2 linked regions of the Arabidopsis thaliana genome follow. The protein of the gene in region 1 binds, or shares a complex with, the protein of each later gene. Each region holds a gene or a part of one and is shown on either strand. Other genes may lie near its edges. A codon is read from its position in the direction of its gene.

Region 1 (3,751 bases):
GAATGATATTCATGAGACAACAAAGCTGCAAATGCTAAGATGCAAACAACAAAAACTGCCAAAAATCTTTTCAAAGACTAACATAAGAAATGATCATAAGTTCATAGCACAGATTTGACATCCTAATGAACAAACATTGGATAAACAATGTAAGAAGAACAGAGCTAAACAAATGAGAAAGAAGAAGATTTACTAAAACAGATAATCCTAACTTTTTTAAGACGAAGGATAATCATCAAAGTTGCATATGTAAACCGAAAAAAACTGTCTTTTAAAGACTAATATAAGAAATGATCATAAGTTTAAAGCACATATTTGACATCCTAATGAAGAAACATTGGCATTCTCAAATACAAAAAACTCAACTTTGATGATCACCCATTACAGCAAACTTATCCAGTAATCATAGTTCCAGCTCCTTCATCAGACATAATCTCATGAAGCAAAGAATGTTGTCTCCTTCCATCAATAATACTAGCAGTCTTAACTCCTTGAGCTAGAGACCTTATACAACACTTCACTTTAGGAATCATCCCACCAGCAACTTTCCCATCTTCAATCATCTTCTTCACTCCTTTTATATCAATCTCCTTTATCAAACTACTTGGATCCTCTTTATTCTCCAAGATTCCAGCCACATCAGTCAGCAGAATCAGTTTCTCAGCTCCAAGCGCGGCCGCAAGCTCTCCAGCAACTGTATCTGCATTGATATTGTAAGCTTGACCAGAATCATCAGCAGCAACAGAGGCAATCACTGGAATGTAACCATAATCAACGAGCGGACGTAACACAGATGGATCAACTCTTGCAACTTCACCAACGAAACCTAACTGAGCTGAATTGGGAACAGGTCGTGCTGTGAGAAGACGACCGTCGTGTCCTGATAACCCCACAGCGGTGGCTCCGGCGGCGTTAATAAGAGAAACCAGATTCTTATTGACCTTTCCGACTAAAACCATAGAGACGATCTCCATCGTCGTTGCGTCGGTGACACGTAGTCCGTCACGAAACTCAGCTGGGATGTTGAGTTGTTTCAGGTAACGGTTGATGTCAGGACCACCACCGTGAACGAGGATCGGACGAAGACCGACACACGCGAGGAGCACGAGATCGCTTACGACGGAGGATTTAAGTTCCGGCGAAGTCATTGCTGCGCCGCCGTATTTGACAACTATGGTTTTACCTCGGAATTTTTGGATAAATGGTAGAGATTCGGAGAGAATCTCGACTCTGTAATCCGGTGAAGGTGCATTTCCGGTTGCGATTGAAGGTGGTGTTGATACGGTGGCTTTTATCGAGAAACCTAGACGGTGATGGTTCTTGTTGCGAGTTGGATAACAGAGAGATGGTGATTTGTTGGGGATTAGGGTTTTGAAAGGATTGGAAACAGTGAAGGAGAAGGATTTAGGTGAAGCATTGGATGTGACGGTGGCCATTCCTGAACCTTACCGGAGAAGGAGGAAGCGGCGGCGAATTAGCTGAAGCGAGATGGTCTCTCAGATCTTCTTCGACGATTTTAGTTAAACAACAAAATGAACAAATGATTAATGTCCACGTGGAGCGTAGACACAAAGATGCTGTCCTAGCCCTAAGTTTAAACGGTGACGTACTTGTGAAATACAAAACGCTGACGTTGTTGTTCTGTCTCTTTTTGTACTTAAACGATGTCGTTTCATCTTGTAGCGGGAAATAAAACAGAGCTCAGGCTTTTTTTTTTTTTTTTTCTGTTCGTCGTCGTCTCCGCGAGATTGCTACAAATTAGAGTAGAGAGTAATTTCAATCAGCAATAAATTAAATACCTGGAATTGCTGATTATTGAGAGGGAAATGGAGGAGGAATTGATACGAAGATCAGAACCGGAGTCTCTAGTCTCCGTCACTGTAGCTAGGTTCATGAGTACGCTTCTCTCAGCTCGCCCTAAAAAGCTACGAGAGTCTATTTCTCGTCTAACTCCTGATTCTCAAAAGGGTGTCTCAGGTAATAACTGTTTTCAATTTCAATTTTATCCTTAATCTGTGTTTATTTATGTTTACACATGCTCTTTTGGGGTTTATAATCTGTTTGTTTTCGTTAGGCTCTATCGATGAGGCACTCTGGTTTTTGGAAAAGTGCGTTATAGACGCTGCTGAGAGAGACGAAGCCATGAGTGAAATTCTTGTACCCATTATCGAACATGTAATATCTTAAACCCTGTGAAAAGTTAAAACCTTGCTTGATTGTTGTAATGTCCGGTCTTTTATCTTGTATGTTCTTACGTGTTGGTTTCTCTACTTTTGTTGTTGTTTTTTAGACATTAAGGTTTAAGGATTCTAAGCATGGTAACCCAGCTATGATACTTCTAAATTGGCTATTTCAAGATGAAGTTCTCTTTCAAGCCGTTTCGAGAAATCTTTCGAATATCATTTTGAGGAACGAGGACAGGTTTTTAGCGCTTGGATGGTGTTTACTTATCCGACGTCTTGTAGAATGTGAGGATACTGGGGATCAAGGTTTTTGGCATGGTGAGCATTATAATCATCTGGCTATCTCTATTGAAGGAAAGAAAACGCTCTCTTTACTTATGTACTTGTATAAATTTTTTTGTTGACAGGAATTAGGGAGAAACATTCTATGTTTGTGGAGATTGTTTCATCTTGTGTGCCTCACTTGTTGATGATTGTACGCAATGGAAGGTATAAAACTTCTTTGTCAATGGGTATAAATATCATCTCCTGCTCTCTATTTTTTGTTCTATATGGAGCAAGTTTGTACACTTACATACATAGTCATTTCCACTTTGTTCTGAGCTGTTGTTATTTTGTTTAGTATTTTACAAGATGGATATGAGGTGCCATCTCGTCTTTCTCTTTCTGCTGCTGATTGCTTGCTGTCAATTACTGGAGCCTTAGCAAAGAGGGATAATACTCTGATCAATAGACCAAAGTCACCAACCATTACGGGGTCTCATCAACCTGTTGCTTTGACACCTAATATTAGTGAGAAAAAAAAAAGGCCGACTTCTCTACCTGAAGACTCAAACATTGAGACAAATTGTATACTGTGGAACCACATGGAGGATCTGACACGCCTTGTACAATGTCTTTTTGCTGTATGTTCGCTGATCCATCTAAATATGCTTGAGCTGTGTTCTAAATTTTGAAGTGACGAAGTAATCCATGATTTGAGTCGAGTAATATTGACAAATGATTCCTTCCAGTGGAACAGAAAAACTCGACTACTGCATGCGAAGGGGTTAAGTCAAGTGCTGAAATGGTTAGAGGAGTTGAAAGAGCATCATGGTGGCTCCCAAAAGGAGGCAGGTCTCTGACTGATGCCGCCTTTCCTTGTTCATTTCCGTTTTCTGTTTCTGTTTTTGATTCTTGCTTTTCAAATTCATTGTTTAATACCTGGATTTCAGGCACAGAGGTATCTATGGGTGGAGCTCTACTGCTCTCTTCTTGTTGGAAGCATTACAGTGTCTTGCTCCACATGGAAGATCAAAAGTTCTCAAAGATTAGTAAGGAATTGTTGGAGCAATATTTGTCTGGTATTAAGGTTAGAAATTGTCGCCAATCTTTTTTGGTTTCAAAATTTTGTGATAGAGATAAATATTACATACAGTACCTATGGGTTTCTATTGTGTCCGTATCTGCAACTGCTGCATATGTCTAAGTCCTCTGAGTCTCTGACCCAATTTTGTCTAAGAATAAGTTTATGTCATCGCCATCTACAGTTTCTATTTTTTATTCTTTGTTAAAAAGATAGATATATC
Region 2 (3,751 bases), on another chromosome or scaffold:
ACACATCTTGATCGATTCAACATGAAACCAAACACAGACTCCATTCATTATTATTCGCAGAATCTAGAGACCGAAATGAAAAAAAAAAAAACCATTCTTGAGCTCTGTTTGTTCCTAAGACGGTGAAAGCATATCACCAGTCATCTTCTCTGCTTTCTCCCCACGCTCACCTGAAAATGTTTTATCAACATGTACACACGTTTTAAGGCAAGCCAAGATCTGTGTCTTTCTTTTAAAAAGAATATGGCTTTTGAAGTTTTTACCTGTCCTAACTCTTATGACATCTGACACAGGCAAAACTGTATATAACCAAACAAGAAACAATCACAATCTGAGTAATTTCATTTTGCATTTACAATTTGAGGTATCAAACATAAATCTGATTGTGAAAAGAGTAACAAGAAAACTTTTTGTGTTACCAAAAATCTTGCCATCACCAATCTCTCCTGTCCTTGCTCCTTCAATTATTGTGTTGATTACAGATTCCACCTGCAACAAGAAAAAAAAAAGTAATGGCTCAAACTCGAATTTCGCTTATGAAGTATCGATTTTTTTAACCATATACGTACTTGGTCTTTCTTAACAACGATTTCCATCTTAACTTTAGCAACAAATTTGTCTTCCGAGAACTCAGAGCCTGCAAATGCAACAATGTGTATAGAAAAGTCATGAACACATTTTGACAATAAGAAGAATCATCAAACCAATTCTTGAATTCACGGACGTACCACCGTGTCTCTCGGTAGAACCTCCTTGTGCACCAAACCCTCTCACATCAGAAACAGTAACACCTCGAATCCCGATTTTCAGTAAAGCCTATTTATTTATGAAACAGAGAAACTCAAGATTTAGTTTTGGATTTTTCAAAAGTGTAATAATCATCTCTATATACTAAGGAAGTAACAAGTACCATCTACAATAACTATGAGAACCATAAACCCTTCAATTCAAATTCACATTTCAAACACTAGAGAAACGAAGATTTGACCAGTCCTGTCGAGTTCACTGACATTATTTGATTTTCGCATGCATCGATAAGAACTACTACTCTTACTTATTTCTCAAAATTCTGTTTTATAGTATTCAAAATCCACATTTAAAACACTATAGACTCTTCATGGATAACAAGTAATAATGGAAACCTCAAGTGATTAGCAAAGTTCAAATCTTTTCACATATCAAAGTTGAGAACAAGGAAAATCTTACCGATGAAACTTGCTGGATTCTCCATGGTCTTTATCAGTCCAACATTCATACATGAACAGAGAAGAAACAAGCAACATTGTCACAATTATGAGCTTTGATTGGTACATCAAAACAAAAATTAGAAGCTTACCTGACAATTGCTTCCACCTTGTAAAATTTCGAGTCTGGAATATAATCTAACAAAATATGAAAAGAGAAATGCTATGAACACACAAAAGAAACCAAATTGATCGAAAAAAGGATCAGAGACTCATTACTGTTGGCTTACCAGAAGATATTTGGGCACTAACGACAGGTAAAACACGACTGTTATTACTCGGTGACTTTGTGACCAAATCGAGGCAAGATGGTCGGGAATGTCTGAATCCAGAACAAATCGAAATGCAATCAGAGAAAGCAATGTTCTTTCGATCAGAATAGAAACCGAGAGAAGTTATTGAGATGGGTTTCGTCATTGACGCCGCCATGATTCTAGTTTTTTTTTTAACACAACTTTCAGAGTTTCCTCTTTACCAACTGATTTCGACCATCGAAAGCGACGACGAAGGAGGTAATTATTGGAAGTGGAACTTCGAAGTTGACGACGAGTCGGTTTAGCTAATAAAACCGGTTTAGTACAGAAATTGATTTCCGGTTTAGATCGGTTTAGTGAAGTGGCTCTGATGGAATGGAATCGAATCAAGTCTGCTTTAAAGTTACGATTTTTCGATCTCACACTGGTTAAGGTGAAACAAAAATGGCTGAGGAAGAGTTCATATACAGAATCAGTACGGAACAAGAATGGGAAGAGTTTAAGAAGAATGGATCTTCTTATGGTGCAGAGATTGATAAATCAACTTGTTATTATCATCTCAGCAAACTTGATCAGGTCTTTCTCTCTTCCCATAAAGATCTCAACTTTTTCATTTGGGTGATGAAGATTCTCGAAAATTTTCTCATTTTCTTAGGCAATTTGGTTTGAACTTGTGAAAAATCATTACTTTTATGTAGATTTTTACTGCTTTTGTGATGAAATCGATTCTCTGATTTCTAGGTACAATTGACATTGAAGAACTTTTTCGTGGATGTGAAGGAGTATCTTTACCTTCTTCAAGTCGATCCTAAGAAGGTTGACTTTTACCTTTAACTTGAAACATATGTGGATAGAAAATTTATGATCATTTTTGTGTTAGGGATCCTCTAGTTTGGTGAGTGGTTGATTTGGTAAATGTTAGTTTATTGCGTGATTAGCTCCATGTTTAAGTAGAGGAGCAGTTAGCTAAAGTGGGTATGAGTTAGCTAGAGTTGGTTATGTGTGGTTTGTGCTAAAGTTTAGTGTTATTTTGTACACTTGAAAACAAAATGGGTTTCAAACATTTTTCTTACCAAGCTGCAATTGTGGATAAACACAATCTAAGTAGCAGAACCATGATCTTAGGATGGTCATGGACATTGATGTAAAGTTCTTACAAAATTGTCATTTGAATCGTTATGCTACGTTGATGTTTTGGATACATTTTAGTGCTAAGAAGAGATTGACATTTTTGTTTTTGTTTGATGTGCTTTATTTGGCAGCTTGGAGATGGATTAATCTATGAAGCTGTGGATGAAGTAAATAGCTTCCCTCACTTCTATGGTCCAGACAAAACCTTCGTTCCTCTTCCTCTAGATTCTGTCGTCAAAGCTGAGAAGCTAACATTCATCAATGGAAATTTCACATGCAGCTTCTTGACTTGATGATTCACTGCTTTAAGTTTAATTGCAATGTCACTCTTTTAATAATGTAATTAAGAAAGTTTTTTTCTTCTTATTCACGAAACAGAACCAAAAAACAAAGTGTATTATTACAATGCAAGATTAAGATCTAAACCATTATCTTTTCTCATCACCTTCTCAACTTCTTCTTCTCCTTCATCATCATCTTCTTCTTCTTCATCATCTTCTTCTTCTTCTTCTTCTTGCTTCTCTTCTTCTTGGTTCTTGGTGGAGATAATCGAATTCGATGGCTTTAGGTTTAAGTCCATACAGTGAGAAAAATCTTCAGCACGGAATACAGGAACAATGCTGTAGTCGGATCTCTTGGTCGGCATCGAAGCAACGTCGCCAGAATCTTGAGTTAAGTATTGTCGTCTTCGTTTCTTAGCATCCTGGTAGTTTTTAATGAGATTGAAGAACATGTCCATCTTCTTGTTCTCCAACTCTTCTTCTTCGTCTTCATCGATCTCGTTGATCCTTTTGTTCTCTGTTTTTTCTTCTTCTTGGTTCATTATCTCTTTTCGATGGTGAAGAAGAAGAAGAAGAAAGTTTTGTTTTTCTTTCTTTTGTTTTTGGAATTTAGGGTTTTTAGGAGAAATGTATATTGAGGGGAGTGGTGAAAGATAATGGTATTAGAAAAGACTAAATTGCCACTTATAACCTCCAATTTATTTTTCTATATCTAGTTTATTTGTATTTCAATTAAAAAATGTGTTCTAGAAAAGAACATATAGTTTTAATTAGATTTCTAAGTGAAACCAAAATCCACAAACCAATACATTATTAAATTCCCTTAAATAAAGAATAAAAC

The links.
Region 2: the proteins of NAGK (region 1) and GLB1 are in contact, whole or in part, in a crystal structure (PDB 2RD5), measured with the Arabidopsis thaliana proteins. Residues at the interface, in NP_191315.1 of Arabidopsis thaliana: Arg195 (codon at 854), Glu208 (codon at 815), Val209 (codon at 812), Ala210 (codon at 809), Arg211 (codon at 806), Val212 (codon at 803), Glu251 (codon at 686), Ala254 (codon at 677), Ala255 (codon at 674), Ile286 (codon at 581), Lys287 (codon at 578), Lys290 (codon at 569), Ile310 (codon at 509), Arg311 (codon at 506), Ala314 (codon at 497), Gln315 (codon at 494), Gly316 (codon at 491), Gly347 (codon at 398); in NP_192099.1 of Arabidopsis thaliana: Arg82 (codon at 1,338), Trp84 (codon at 1,230), Arg85 (codon at 1,227), Gln88 (codon at 1,218), Arg118 (codon at 738), His119 (codon at 735), Gly120 (codon at 732), Gly121 (codon at 729), Ser122 (codon at 635), Glu123 (codon at 632), Glu153 (codon at 462), Thr157 (codon at 450), Glu159 (codon at 444).

What each region holds. Positions count from the first base shown.
Region 1 is NC_003074.8:21,310,772-21,314,522, forward strand, and holds NAGK (N-acetyl-l-glutamate kinase), read right to left. Parts: upstream 1,608-3,751; 5' UTR 1,437-1,607; coding exon 393-1,436; 3' UTR 54-392; downstream 1-53. Other genes in the region: AT3G57570 (ARM repeat superfamily protein), read left to right, coding at 1,827-1,977, 2,075-2,175, 2,291-2,501, 2,591-2,672, 2,806-3,088, 3,197-3,299, 3,398-3,534. UniProt on the Arabidopsis thaliana protein: Involved in the arginine biosynthetic pathway via the intermediate compound ornithine.
Region 2 is NC_003075.7:819,658-823,408, reverse strand, and holds the start of GLB1 (nitrogen regulatory P-II-like protein), read right to left. Parts: upstream 1,864-3,751; 5' UTR 1,674-1,863; coding exon 1,475-1,673; intron 1,383-1,474; coding exon 1,337-1,382; intron 1,235-1,336; coding exon 1,207-1,234; intron 817-1,206; coding exon 729-816; intron 638-728; coding exon 570-637; intron 490-569; coding exon 420-489; intron 300-419; coding exon 264-299; intron 171-263; coding exon 115-170; 3' UTR 1-114. Other genes in the region: AT4G01897 (dihydroorotate dehydrogenase), read left to right, coding at 1,943-2,074, 2,240-2,314, 2,761-2,922; AT4G01895 (systemic acquired resistance (SAR) regulator protein NIMIN-1-like protein), read right to left, coding at 3,030-3,452. UniProt on the Arabidopsis thaliana protein: Participates in sensing carbon and organic nitrogen status and regulates some steps of primary carbon and nitrogen metabolism.